Linked DNA regions of Lepisosteus oculatus. The protein of the gene in region 1 purifies or fractionates together with the protein of each later gene. This does not show direct contact. Links are inferred from orthologs where the notes say so. Each region holds a gene or a part of one and is shown in the gene's direction. Other genes may lie near its edges. The genes, in order: chd8, kpna6 and kpna5.

Region 1 (4,820 bases):
CAGTAAGAGTAGGGGTGTCCTGACTGGTCAGTACAGATCCCAGGACACTGTCAGTAAGAGTAGGGGTGTCCTGACTGCTGGTCAGTTCAGATCCCAGGACACTGTCAGTAAGAGTAGGGCTGTCCTGACTGGTCAGTTCAGATCCCAGGACACTGTCAGTAAGAGTAGGGGTGTCCTGACTGCTGGTCAGTACAGATCCCAGGACACTGTCAGTAAGAGTAGGGGTGTCCTGACTGGTCAGTACAGATCCCAGGACACTGTCAGTAAGAGTAGGGGTGTCCTGACTGGTCAGTACAGATCCCAGGACACTGTCAGTAAGAGTAGGGGTGTCCTGACTGGTCAGTACAGATCCCAGGACACTGTCAGTAAGAGTAGGGGTGTCCTGGAGTACAGTTTCTCTCTGTGTTTGTGCAGGCTGGGGTACAGTCTGGGGTACAGTTTCTCTCTCTGCTTGTGCAGTCTGGGGTATAGTTTCTCTCTCTGATGGTGCAGTATGGGGTACAGTTTCTCTCTATCCTGGTGCAGGCTGGGGTACAGTTTCTCTCTCTGCTGGTGCAGTCTGGGGTACACTTTCTCTCTCTGTTGTTAAAGTCTGGGGTACAGTTTCTCTCGCTGCTGGTACAGTATGGGGTACAGTTTCTCTCTCTGCTGGTGCAGGCTGGGGTACAGTCTGGGGTACAGTTTTTCTCTCCTGGTACAGTCTGGGGTACAGTTTCTCTCTCTGATGGTGCAGTCTGGGGTACAGTTTCTCTCTCTCCTGGTGCAGGCTGGGGTACAGTCTGGGGTACAGTTTCTCTCTCTCCTGGTGCAGGCTGGGGTACAGTCTGGGGTACAGTGGCTGTATTCTCTCTGCTAGTCTTTGTAATGCTGTACTTTACCAGGGTTAACAATCTACCAGCTACCAAATGATCTGGTCTGCAGAGGCAGCTGCCTCAGTCTTGTTCTCCTTTTCATACAGTTCAGCCTTAGTTTGACATCGTATCGTGAAAGCGTGCTTTGTTCCTGCCATTGCTTTTAACGTTTTCTTATACAAGTGTGTTTCCACAGTTTTTTTTATGTTTTCCTGACTTGGAACAATTGATCTGCACGATACTGTAACACAGAACTCAATGCCAAATGGCCCCAGATACGCATCAGCGATCTTCCGTTGCGTGAAATAAACTCCATCACCTGGCTTTTAACCCCAAACAAACAATATGGATCTCAGTTTAATAGTGGGGTTGTTTTTTTTTCCCGGTCCTAAAACGCGAAAGTTGCTCTCACGCAGTCTCGGTCCTCGCCCGACTGTTTCTCCGGCCTGGCGGGTCGTGGTGTGACAGGTTTTGTGTTTTTTTTTATTTTCGGAAGGGATGAGGGAGAGAGAGAGGTGGGGGAGCTGTGACGCCGCGCACAAGCGAAGGGATCTCAGGCTCCAAACCTGCCTAGAAACGCACCAGGCCGCACTCTCCCGCTGCGCTCTCAACCGAACTACCCCCTCGCTGCCTTGTCGCACTCCCTCCTCCTCCCCCCCTCCACAAGATAACACCGTGATCGACAGCGTCTTCCAGCCAATTGAGTTCCGGTAGCCGTCAGCGCCCATGCGGACTGGGCCAATCGCAGCCCGACGTCTCTTGCGTAGCCCCGGACGGGGCGGGGCATAGAGGGGGAGGGGAGGAGGTATAGGGAAGGCTGCGGCGAGGCCCTGCGTCGCTTAGGAAAGTTAGTTCCTGCTCTGGCTCCGGCCGTTTCCTGTAGCGTACAGTGTTGCGAGAGAGAGAGACGCTGAAAGCCATGTGTGTCGCGGTAAAGGTAAATTTTTACACCCCGAAAGGAGCGCGGAGGGCCGGAGTCGGCGGGGGGGCGGGGGAGGGAGCCGGGTTTTGCCGGGAGGCGGCCTCCGACGGCGGCCCGCGGGGGCCCCGGCCGCGTCCCCTCGCCCGGCGCCCAGGCGCGGCGCGGCCTGTCGCGGGAGCGGGTTCGGAGCGGAGCCGCACGCTGCTCCGGTCGGCTCGCTGAGGGAGAGGGGAGAGGGAGGAGGAAGAGGAGGAGGGAGGTGGTGGTTGTTGTTGTTGTGCGGGGGGCGAGAGACCGCTGGCTACCCCGCTCCTCGGTGTTTCTGTGCCCGTGTCTGCGGCAGGCAGCCCCCGGGAAATCGCGTCTCCTGTCTGACTCCCGCACCGGAGTTTGTGACTTTCAGTTTCCCCTCTCTCTCCCTCTCTCCTGCGGGCGCATCTCCTCTCCGGCGGCCGGCGGCCGGCAGCGGCTCGCTCGCCCGGGGCCGCCGAGTCCGTGTGGCCGTCTTTCGGCTCTGTGGTGTTGTGTTGTGGTGTGTCGCTGGCTCGGCTCGGCTCGAAGGAGAATTTCACCCTGCTGTAACATCGTGATGGTGTGTTTGGAAGTGAGGGGGGTTGGGGTGAAGACTGCTGTCGGGGAGGCAGGCTGACTCCTCTTCCATCGCGGTCCGATCCAGCCCGGGTCTTCCCGGCGGCGGCGGGCGGTGAGGCTGGGAGCCGGGCAGGACGGCAGACTTTCCCCTCTGCCGCCGCCGAAGCCCCGATTTCACTCCTCTCGCCGGCAGCCGACACGCCGCGTCTCTTTCCTTCGCTCTCCAGCCCGGGATACACCTTCATTTGTCCCGTATTCGCGTCTCCTTCCCTGCGTGTCTCGCTCACGCGTGGTGTTGTGGCTGCTGCCTCACGCTGCCTGGCTGCGATGAGCCCCCCCCCTCCCCGCAGCCCCCGGGTGGAAAGGCGCTGTATGGGATGAAAGTGTGCTGGTGCTGGACGGGCTGTATTCCCGTGTGAATTCCCGCAGGATCCGAGTCCCAGCTTTTCCTCTCGAGCTTCCCGAGGGTCCTGCCACTGTGAATACCTGGAGCGGATAGCGCCGCTGAGCGCCCTGAGTGTGTGTGTGGGGTTATTGCTGGACTGTATCGGCGCGCCTCTCTGTTAGCGTCTGTTCTTGGGGGACAGGGGCAGTGTGGGGGCACCTGGGGGTGTCCTCTGAGCTCTGCTTGAGTCGCTGACCTGCTGCCTGAGACACTGAACTGCTGCACCTGCTGCCCATGACACTGACCTGCTGCCTGTGACACTGATGCTTTGCCCAGTACACTGACCTGCTGCCCAAGACACTGCCCATGACAGTGATGCTCTGCCCAGTCCACTGACCTACTGCAAGAGGCACTGCCCGTGACACTGACCCTCTGCCCGTGACACTGCCTGGTACACTGACCCTCTGCCCGAGGCACTGCCCGGCTGCCTGAGGCACTGACCCTCTGCCCGCGACACTGAGCTGCTGCCCGGTGCACTGACCCTCTGCCCATGAGACTGACGTGCTGCACTGACCCTCTGCCCGCGACACTGACTTGCTGCCTGAGGCACGTCCCGTGACACTGACCTGCTGCCTGACCCTCTGCCCGCGACACTGACCTGCTGCCCGAGGCACGTCCCGTGACACTGACCCTCTGCCCGTGACACTGACCTGCTGCCCGAGGCACGTCCCGTGACACTGACCTGCTGCCTGACCCTCTGCCCGCGACACTGACCTGCTGCCCGAGGCACGTCCCGTGACACTGACCCTCTGCCCGCGACACTGACCTGCTGCCCGAGGCACGTCCCGTGACACTGACCCTCTGCCCGCGACACTGACCTGCTGCCCGAGGCACGTCCCGTGACACTGACCTGCTGCCCGAGGCACGTCCCGTGACACTGACCTGCTGCCTGACCCTCTGCTCATGACACTGACCTGCTGCCCGAGGCATGTCCCGTGACACTGATCCTCTGCTTGCAACACTGACCTGCTGCTCGAGGCACTGCCCGGTGCACTGACCCTCTGACCATGAAACTGCCCGGTGCACTGACCCTCTGCCCATGACACTGACCTGCTGCTCAGTGCACTGACCCTCTGCCTGCGACACTGAGCTGCTGCTCGGTGCACTGACCCTCTGCCCGCGACACTGAGCTGCTGCACGAGGAACTGCCCGGTGCACTGACCCTCTGCCCATGACACTGCCCGGTGCACTGACCCTCTGCCCATGACACTGCCCGGTGCACTGACCCTCTGCCCGGTGCACGAGATACTGTCCGATGCATTGACCTGCTGCCCGAGGCACTGTCCATGACACTGACCTGATGCCCGAGATACTGTCCGATGAACTGACCTGCTGCCCGAGGCACGGACCTGCTGCCCGAGGCATGTCCCGCGACACTGACCCTCTGCCCGCGACACTGACCTGCTGCACGAGATACTGTCCGATGAACTGACCTGCTGCCCGAGGCACGGACCTGCTGCCCGAGGCATGTCCCGCGACACTGACCCTCTGCCCGCGACACTGACCTGCTGCACGAGGCACTGCCCAATGCATGGACCCGCTGCCCGTGACACTGACCTGCTGCCCGAGGCACTGCCCGTGACACTGACCCTCTGCCCATGACACTGACCTGCTGCCCGAGACACTGCTAGTCTTCATTCCAGCCTGTGTTACTTATGTAATTGATGTGTTAGTCGAGCTCAGAAGTTGTTTGGTTGGAGTTCTTGCAGATGGTACTCAAATGTTTTGGGTTTTCTATGCACATTTGTGAAGCTCGGGAGGTTGCAGAGATGCTGTGTTGGGGCGTTCTCTGTCTTGTGCTTGGTGTTGTATCACAGTGTGTGTCAGTCCTACAGGTGCTGTCTCTGGCTCGAGTGTGACTGTGTGTGTGTGGGGGGGGTCAGTCCTACAGGCGCTGTCTCTGGCTCGAGTGTGACTGTGTGTGTGTGTGTGTGTGGGGTCAGTCCTACAGGCGCTGTCTCTGGCTCGAGTGTGACTGTGTGTGTGTGTGTGTGGGGTCAGTCCTACAGGC
Region 2 (4,820 bases), on another chromosome or scaffold:
GTGCTTTTTTTTCTTCGTGTCGTTGTTGTTTGTTTTTGGTTCTTTTCTGCCATAATAAAAAAACATATTTTTGTATTCCCTTAAAAGAGTCTTCCTTTCTTTCTTTGGTTGTATTTGAGGTGTTACTGAACGCTTGTGTGCTGGGGTTGTGTGTGTGTAGACAGTACAATGGTAGAAATGTGTGGGCATCCTCAGAGTATGTGGCACTGGCTGGGACAGATGTCTCCGAAGATTTTTTGCCAACAATAAAAAAGATCTGAAAGAAAATAAAATGACACACTGCATCAGTCTGATAGTGTTTTTTCCCCTGATACTCTTTTGCAAATGTCAACACATCAACACATTGTGGCTCCAGATGTCTTGGACTGCTGGCTTTGTCTCATCACTGCTTCTCTCAGTTAAAAAGTGTTTGAACGGCAAATGAAGATGTTTTTCTTCTCTTGGAATGTTTGTTCTGTTTCTTCTTCAAAGATGGCACTTGGGTGCAGAGTCCAAATGTAAGCACAGAAAAACACAACTGTCTCCAATTTATGAGGCAAGATAGTGTTTTGGATATACCTGGAACTGCTGATAAAATCATTGGTAGTCTAGGTTCAGCCGATTTGCCTGAAAATCCTTACCACCGGTGAACAGAATGAATCGCTATTCATTAAACCCCTGGAAAGATATAGCTGAATAATTTGTAACTGAAGAATAGAAATCCTCCAAGTCAAATGCACTACTCACAATTGCTTGCAATGAAGGATGCCAATAAAACAATTTGGGCTGCGACTGTGGTTCAGGGTACAAATGTCGCAGCCAAAATAAATTCAAGATCATCTTTATTTCCGTCCCTATCCTGGACACCTGATTGCACAGTAAAGAGCAAAGGCACTGTGGGCTTGACGTTCAGATGGAGGACAGTTTCTGACTGTTTTGAAGATAATCTATCTTGCAGATAACCAGCTCTTTTGTTGTTCAGAGTGCGTTGTGATGGACAGTTCATCAGTGTGCTCTGTGTGAGTGATTATTGAGTTGACTCTGCTGAGTAAGCCGTTCACCAATCTACCCCTCACGGACTTTGTTACAGTTTAATTTGATGCAGCTGGATTGCTGAAATGTAGGGGCCTAAGCTTTAAATGCATCGAAAATGAATCAGTTCTCTGGATTTTCTGTTGATAATAATCAAGGTACGAGTTCCTGTGAAATTAACACAACATTACAAATTTTGTGTTCTAGACATGGTTAATGTCTTTGTTTCTGGGATGGTGGCATTGCGATTATTCCTGCTGCCTCGCAGCTCTCAAGTCCTGGGTTCGATTCTGGACAGTGGCACGTTCTGTGTGCAGCTGGCATGTTTGGAGTGTTTTCTTTAGGTGCTCGGATAGGTGTTGGCTGGTTTTATAATTTCTTTAGTAATGTCAGACAGACAATTGAATCCTTGGAGAATGTTGCTGAAAAAACGTTTAGGAAGACATGACAAGGAAGGATTGCACACAACTTATCCTGACCATAATATCCCACTCAAGATCTGACAGCTCTTTCAAGATAGGCACTGCCAGAACACGCATAAATTGCAATTGCTGTTTGGCTACAGACAAATTAACACTACAAGCTGAACCTTAGCTGTCTTGTGTATTATCTTGTGTATTCTTTTTATTTATTGTTGTTGTCATTCTATAAAGCGCTTTGAGAAGCCACCTTTAAAGGCGCTATATAAAATAAAGTTTATTATTATTACTATTATTATTACTACTTGGGAGTTAAAATAAGGACTGACTCTCAGAGAGAGTTTTTTTCATCTCGTACGTGTGAGTAATTTGTATGGCATCATTTATTATCTAACTGCGAAGCTCTGAATGAATGCTTCAACTTGGATTGTCATCGGCATGCGTGCATCAGTCAGCAGAGCTGTTCAGGCGTAGTTCCTCGCCGAGCAATCGCCGGCTCTGAACCGCCCACCTTTTTCTAAAACGCGACGACGAGCCATTTGGCTGCTCCGGGCTTCCGTCGTCTTCCGACATATTGTCTGCGGACAGCAAATTCTGGAAGGGAGGGAGAGCGGGTGTGAGATTAAAATTAACAGAAATCGGGACAGAAGAGAGACACGGGGGGGCTGTCACCGGACGTATATCTGCCGCAATGGGTGAGTTGAAAGCGTGTAGCTCCCCGCAGAGCAGGCGGAGAGAGGGCGTCGGTAGACGGGCCGATTCCCCGGGTCACAGTTTCTCTCAGCCGTGCGGGCTGGTGGCGGGGGGGAGATCACGCTTGTCAAACCCCGGCCCTGTCTCTGCTGGAAAACGGGGCAGGGGTGGGGTGGGATCCGTTTCGACTCAAGCGGCAGGTTTTGTCTGGGGACGGGTCCGTGGCGTGGCGCGGCGCGGCTCGGCGCGGCTCCCGGGTGTGGGCCCTGTGTGGACGGGCCTGAGCTCAGGAGAGGCCGTGCGGCTGTTTCCAAGGGAGGGGAGCGGAAAAAAAAACACCTTTTACAGCAGCCATAGGCGGAAAAATTGCAGAAACGCTCCCTAATATTACCCACTCTCACAGTGTCACTCCATCTGTCTGCATGGTACGTAACATAAATAATAATAAAAAAAACCCTACAAAACGTGATCTTGATTTGGATGTTTATAGCAGTGGCTCATTATGCACTGTCTTAGTACTAGACGTGTTGTGGCTTTTTAGTAATCCGATGATTTCCATTATCAGAAGTTTTTTCTTGTTTCTTTTTTGGCCTGTAGGATGTACAACACAGTATTTGTTTTTCTTCATATATCCTCTACGTCGTATGAGAAACTGCGGGGAGGGGATCGAAAACGGCGTTTCAAGAATTACAATATTTCCACATACATTAAATTTGTGTGAACCGCTGGTGTGGCGGCTTCCGACATTTTAACTGGCAGGCCTACCGCCGTTTCTCTCTAGTTTGTCTTTTGAAACCTCTGTATTAAAGAAAGAGGGAATCATCTCCCGATTTGATTTAGATTTTTTTTTTGCAGTATCGCTAAAGTAGAATGGAGTTTGATTTAAAGGATCTAATTGTGCCCGGTTTTTCAGATATAATTCAATTTGCCTTTGTCTGACTTAAACGGGTCGGTTTCTATTCACACGTTTTTAGGTCTGTTTTGTTCATGCAGGATCTGATTCATATTTGCACAAGGCTCTTGAGTCAGGCAGTGACTCATGTGCTTAAGCTCTCTCGAGTATATTCTTCACCCTAGCTGGGAAACGCTTCATTTCTGAAAGTCGGTGGCCCCCGATATTCATCGTGAACTGTTCCTCTGCGGCATCGTATTTGATAACTGCAGACAGAGTCGTAAGGGACCAGTAAATGCGGAGGTGTCCTGGGTTTGATCGTCTCTAAGCCAGGGGTTTCGATTCTGGCCCTGCAGAACCACAGACCCGTTAGTGTTTCTGCCACCTGAGCACTCAAGTAATCGCTCCTTTAATATAGCTAATGATAGGTCAAGTAAAACCTCTTTCCCTGGAGTTCCTCAAGATTTATGAGGCTGCCTTTTAACTATTAAGTTGTCAGTAAAATCTACAGCCTTCAATAATAATAGTCATTCCTTACAATTACATAGTGCCTTTCTAGACTCGCTGACTCAAAGTGCTTTACAGGTAATGGGGACTCCCCTCCACAACCACCAGTGTGCAGCACCACCTCTGAGTACCAGGATAAAAAAAACCTGCAGAGGTTCCAATCAGGCAACTTGTTGTCCAGTTAAGGATTCATAGGTCAGGGGCTCCGCTGCAGTGTGGATCTCTAGGACCAGGATGGGGCAGTCCAAAAAGACTGAATTGATCCGTTATTCCTCATTTCTGGATGCCCAGGATGGCACTTTCCCTGGACGTGAAGATCACAGGACCAGGGGTGTCCAGGTGTGGTTCTGGAGGAGCGACTGCAGGGTTTCAGTCCAGCTCAGCTCCTTGTGACCTCACTCAGACTGCTATTGGCTTGCCTGGACCCATCTGACTGCTTCTCACTGCTCTTCAGGCCCTGCTGGCATTAAAGACCGACTAGCAGGCCTTGGCACTTGCTGGACAGCTCTGACCCAGAGTGAATAGTCTGGGGCTGCTGAAGGTATCACAGTGTATCGGTCACAAGCATATATATGTGATGCATTGTTTTCTCAGCAGCTTAAATGTAAATTAAGGGTCATACATTTTACAGCGCATAGAACATTTTGTATTTTTGATCACTTACACATGTATTGACTGAATTTAGGTCTTTTGTGTAAAAAAACAATTACCCTCTTCTTGGTATGGCTTTTCAGACTTCCTTGGATTGTTCATTCCTAGCCGATTACAGTGGTTCTGATCTAGCATTGTGTGTTTAAAAAATGAACTGGACGTCTGTACGTTTGTCCTGAGGTTTGGAGAACACGGTGGGGTGTTGAATTGCGAAGTGCCAGAGGGAGATGCAGTTCCTGCTAGCGGTTTCGGAAGAGGTCGCAGTCACCCCTGAACCTTTTAGGAAGGGAATGGAGGTTCTCGGAGAGTTTGCTCGTTTGGAAGGAAGTTGTCCGGTTTGATCTCGTACCTGAGAAGGAAGCCCAGGCAGGTGCCGTCTGCGCTGAGATATCCGTGTTTGCAGTCTGGCCCTGCCTCCCAGCTCCCTGAGCGTGTCCCAGACCAGGAGCACAGGTTCCATGGAAAAACAGACGGAGCTGCTAACTGCTCTGCTGCTGGTAACTCTGAAGCGATCGTTTTCAAGTGCTTCTATATCTTCGATACTTTTTGTGTCATGCAGCTCAGTTGCATAGTTTGAAGTGAGTCGACGTTTTGCTTTAGATCTCTTAGTTGCACCTTACATTTTATATATTTTATCTTAATCTGAG
Region 3 (4,820 bases), on another chromosome or scaffold:
GGTTTTAAACACTGTAATATATATTCCACAGTTCTGGCATAATTTACAAGTAGTAAGAAATCTGTGGAAAGGACACAATACGTAGAAAAGGTTAGTTCAAAATGAATTGTCATTTGTGCAGCATAAAACACGACTTTCTGTAGGCCTAGGTGTTTGTATGGACATCATTTACATATTCTTGACACTGTAAAAAGCTCTAAAAGGGCAGTAAAATGTTAAATAATACAGTCACAGCTTAGAAATCATATCAAGAGATGTTACAGAACCTTAAAATGGTACAAAGCACAAGATGTCATTTACATTAAGTGTACAGCTTTGATAACCAAATAACAAAAAAGGATATTGCTACATTGGAATCTCTCCAGAGAAGTTAAACTTAACAAATTCCTGGGTTGAAGTAATGATCTGATCTGCACTGACAGGTTTAAAGAGCTTGACTTTTTTTGTTGCTGTTCTGTTGCTGGACGTCTTCCAAATAAAAACACACAGCAGAGGACACCAGTGGAAATGCATCGTGAATTGACATGAGCTGGAGTCCGTATCTTAATAATACTATTCCCAATAGCAATATTATTTTCAGACTTTTATCCAAAGCAACTTACAGATGCTTGACAAAAGGCGTTTAACAGGAAAGGGTTTATGAAATTAAGAAATGGATTACGTATGCAAAATACAAAATACGTACGAGACTCAAGGTGCAGTTGGACCAGAGACTGCGAGGTTTCATGGTCGTTTACATAAGCACACAGTGTATATTTCGGTCCTCATCCAAAAACTAATTGAGTGTTATTCTGTTACATAAATTGTATACGTTTCAGTTAAAAAATATTGACACATGTAATCCGAAATAAGTACTTATCAGTAACTATGAATTAAAGAATAGAAAGTTTCAACAAATTCGCTCCTGTACCCGGACACCACAACATACTGTACATTGAAAATATGATGTTTTTAAAAGAAATCTCTTAAAGCTGAATCAAAACAAAACAAACAAAACAGGATTGTTGTCATTCACCGCGGCGTGAATGACAACAGTCCTGAAGAACCAAGGCCAAGAGCTAACCGGGAATAACAATGCATAACAAAGATAAAAAGAATATAAATAATTAACACTATTCCGCGCTTTTCTCCGGAAAGGTAGAGAAGCATAACAACTTAAAATCATCTTTAAAGACACCGAAAGCTCTGAAAACGGATAAAAACAGGGCAAGAAATGTGCGCTTTAATTTGCCTCGCTTCCTCACCCTTCTTTCTCGTATTTCTACCGCTTTGATCGCTGCCGCTGTACACTCACTATTGCAGCAACAACACTTGCGTTTTCATTTTCCATTCAGCCGACTCCTCTCTTCCGCACGTGAATCCCACCCGCCCGGGCAAGGCCGCGAGCCAATTGAGTGCAAATACGTCACGTCATTGGCCGTGGCCATTTGAGAACATGAAGGTGACGTAATGCGGAATCTCGACGCTTGGGAAGAAATAGACACATTAACCCTCTCTGTGCACTGTTCGTACAAAACACGCTCTGTAGCATGCTTACACTTTTATGTTATGAGTAAACCGTGCTCCGAGAGTATTCCCTGTGTTGGGAATAAGTGCTAAAGTACTCCGTCTACCTCCTGTGTGGTCAGGACGGGACTCTGGCGACTCAATGTCCCTGTGTGTAATGCTGAAGACGGAGGCATCCTAACCCAACAAGTCTATACCTCATACTTCTTTCATACTATTTCAAAATCTCGCATTGAAGTATCCGTAACGCGCGGAGATGCTTTTACTAAATCTCTGATCGGGTCAGGCCTTTAAATTATGTTCTGCTTTTATTATAACACAGTGTCCCTGTGCAATGCAGGCGTTTTCGTCTGTCAGAAAAACCTGCAGCAGTCGTGGATCCTGGATCTTACCGAGCTCCAGCGCTGATTGGCCACAATCTCCTGCTGACGGACATAAGGGGGCTGCTGGGAGTCCTCTGTGCAATTGACAGAGGTGCGCCATATTGCGCTGAACTGTGTTAGCAATCCTGGTGAGGCAGTGCTCGGAAATAGAGCTGCGCAATTACTAAGCACGCAAGGCAGTACATGGGTAAGCGCTTCCTAACCCTTACACGGTCATCGTAGTCACTTGTTTGACAAGCGGAGCATGCCGTGCTCTTTAAGGTACACGGGGGAGGCCAGGCGCCAGGCTGAAGGAGTTTCAGCTGTTTATTTACAGTTAAGGTGGCTTTCGTGGGAGGGGATGTAACTAGAAAATCTGTAGTGCCTGCAGTTCTGAGCTCCGGTGTTAGGTGGCCAGTTGGCGGAGGGTGTAGGCCCCAGAGGCTGGCAACTGGCTCGTAACCAGGCGTTTGGGGTCACTGGAAGTCCTAGACAGGCTGTGGAAGAAGATCTAAAGGTTGGCTGCGGTCTTGTATTTTACCTTGGTTTTGTTTAGTGTCTTGTGATACTCGTGAGCACGCCTGGTGCAGCCCACCTGAAGACACAGGTAACCGTGGTCTTTAAATGTGTTTGCCATTTGTCCTGGAATCTTGCCGACTTGCGTTTTTTTTAAATAAATTGTACGCGGTATGTAATTGTCTCTTTAGGTTAATGTTGAATATCGTAATTTGTACCTATTATGATCTTATCTGGTAACGTCGCCTAGCCTTAGTTCGTACCTGTGATGGGTCTGGTTTGAAGTGTATCGTAAATGTACAGTGACCGTATGAACAAATAGTTGATGGGCGATGACGGGTCAGGCAGTGATGTTTTTCGAATAAAATAATTGGCATTGCTCTAAGCGTAGGTTCGGGTTTGTGTTCTCCGCCGAGTTAACGTTATTTGGCTGACAGTTTTGGTCCATTTGTACCCATTTATATAGCTGGGCATGGGCAGGAAACAGTTCGAGTTAATGATCAGTGCGCAACATCGGTGCCTCTCCCGGAATTTGAACCCCTCAAACTACTAATAACGCTGTTTCACATTTCTACCCTTTCCAGTTCTTCTACCCAACAGTTCTCCTGTTGTTGACTGACGACACCCCTGTCATAAATTCTGCAAATGTCGCTAGCTGTTGCTGAAGGTCACTTAAGTTTAAAATGTCACTATTTTTGGTGCATTAAAGCTGTCACTTAATATTTTCACTTTGTCTATGATCTACGCTTGTAATATCTAGACTGCATTCTTCGAAGCTGAAATGGCTTTATGTATTTCAGTCAACTTGGGTATACTTTGAGTAAAATGGGGGGGAAATTACCGGTAGTGGTTTCCCAAGGTAAAAGAAAGTGAAGGTCCCAGAGTCGCTTGTGTACCAACTTGTTAAAGAATGTTCAACGCCCCCCCCCACACACACACACACCAAAAAAAACGAATGAAAGGTCTAAAAGGGAATCTTTTTTGTGGAGACTGAAATGGGATATCACTGTATTACTGCAATATGAATTGGTAACAATTCCACCATAGAGGTCTTCCCTGTAGTTTTGGTTTTTACACACATTTTACAAACGGATGTACATAGCGTTCATTGATGCCAGAATTTCAGCAAGCTTTGGCAGAGTCTTGTGTATACATGGTCTAATGCAGACTCAGTCACTGGTGGCACGTCTCTGCCACCTTCCCAGAAAACCAGCAGCGTGTCCTTTTTCGTTTGTGTTGATGCTTGCTGCATATTGTCTCTTTCATTTTCCCTGTGGCTCCCTCCTGTTTTTTTTTAACTATCTGGTGAGAAGCCATGACTCCTAATTGTTACAAGTGAGGAAGTCGTTTGTTTCTTCGCTTTCGTGATCTGTGATAACGTCAGATGTGTTGGATCAGTTTGAGTCGGGTGAATCATGTTTTGGTTTTGTAACTTTTACTTTTTACAGGATGGGGTAGTTAGTCCCACCTCGAAGTGCGATGGAGGGGCTGCCTCCTTAAAGCGTTCGACCTAAATTGATTTCTGTTAGGGTCGTCTCTCTTAGCCTTTGAGGATCCCTCCTCTGTCCACAAGGCAGTGGATCCCTGTTGGTCCGTGGGCCCTTATTCTGTATTTTTGGGCCACACTGCTGTTATGGTGGGCTCCCCCATCCGCCCCATGGGGGACACACTCTCTAGGGATTACAGGGTCCTCAAAAGATGGATAAACGATGTTGAAGACCTCAGAAAGCTGAGAGTGAGAGGATGGCGAAGACTGGTATGGGGCCGAGATGCGTGGAGGAGGCCAGGGCTCTACAAGGGCCGTAGCGCCATGCGGCTAGTTAGTTAGAGTCATGTGTTACAGTGGAAAGATGAATGGTGGTAAAGACAGTAATGATACATCTCAAACTTTCTCTTATTAATGTATGGGAAATTCGTTAAATTACCTTTTATTTCTGCTGTGTATGTACACTTGATTTACTTGTTACGTGCCCTGGGTGCTATCTGTGTGGAGCTTTGTATGGGTTTCCTCCAGGCACTCTGGTTTTCTCCCACAGTCCAAAGACACTGGTAGGTTAATTGGCTTCTGGGAAAGACTGGTCCTGGTGTGCGTGTGTGCGTGCGTGTCCCGTGATGAACTAGAGTCCCACCCGGGGTGTTCCCCGCCTTGCGCCCATTGCTTCCCGGGATAGACTCCACCTCCCCTGTCTCCCTGAATTGGGAGAAGTGCTTAGTAAGTGTAGGGATGTGTTGTATGTGACTGAAAGAAAGAAGTGAGGTCTATTATGAGGTTTACAAGTCTAATGCTGGTCATCTGCACCTCAATCCCTTTTTCCCCCCCATGAACTTAAATATTCATTACATGTGATTTCTTCAGCCAGGGGGCTTTCCAGGAGTGAACCCCCATGTGAAATGAGGGGAAAGGTGTATTGAAGTGCACAAAGACACTGGGACGCG

Evidence for each region.
Region 2: the proteins of chd8 (region 1) and kpna6 purify together in Homo sapiens (affinity purification with mass spectrometry; 4 studies listed by BioGRID and IntAct, with this or other methods). This does not show direct contact. The link is inferred for Lepisosteus oculatus from reciprocal best matches to the Homo sapiens genes CHD8 and KPNA6.
Region 3: the proteins of chd8 (region 1) and kpna5 purify together in Homo sapiens (affinity purification with mass spectrometry; 3 studies listed by BioGRID and IntAct, with this or other methods). This does not show direct contact. The link is inferred for Lepisosteus oculatus from reciprocal best matches to the Homo sapiens genes CHD8 and KPNA5.

The regions. Positions count from the first base shown.
Region 1 is NC_090699.1:12,468,300-12,473,119, forward strand, and holds the start of chd8 (chromodomain-helicase-DNA-binding protein 8), read left to right. Parts: upstream 1-1,635; 5' UTR 1,636-1,788; intron 1,789-4,820. UniProt on the Homo sapiens protein: ATP-dependent chromatin-remodeling factor, it slides nucleosomes along DNA; nucleosome sliding requires ATP. Acts as a transcription repressor by remodeling chromatin structure and recruiting histone H1 to target genes.
Region 2 is NC_090706.1:3,287,629-3,292,448, forward strand, and holds the start of kpna6 (importin subunit alpha-7), read left to right. Parts: upstream 1-1,969; 5' UTR 1,970-2,121; coding exon 2,122-2,125; intron 2,126-2,177; exon of another isoform or gene 2,178-2,548; intron 2,549-4,820. UniProt on the Homo sapiens protein: Functions in nuclear protein import as an adapter protein for nuclear receptor KPNB1. Binds specifically and directly to substrates containing either a simple or bipartite NLS motif.
Region 3 is NC_090697.1:32,630,112-32,634,931, forward strand, and holds the start of kpna5 (importin subunit alpha-6), read left to right. Parts: upstream 1-1,947; 5' UTR 1,948-2,072; coding exon 2,073-2,076; intron 2,077-4,820. UniProt on the Homo sapiens protein: Functions in nuclear protein import as an adapter protein for nuclear receptor KPNB1. Binds specifically and directly to substrates containing either a simple or bipartite NLS motif.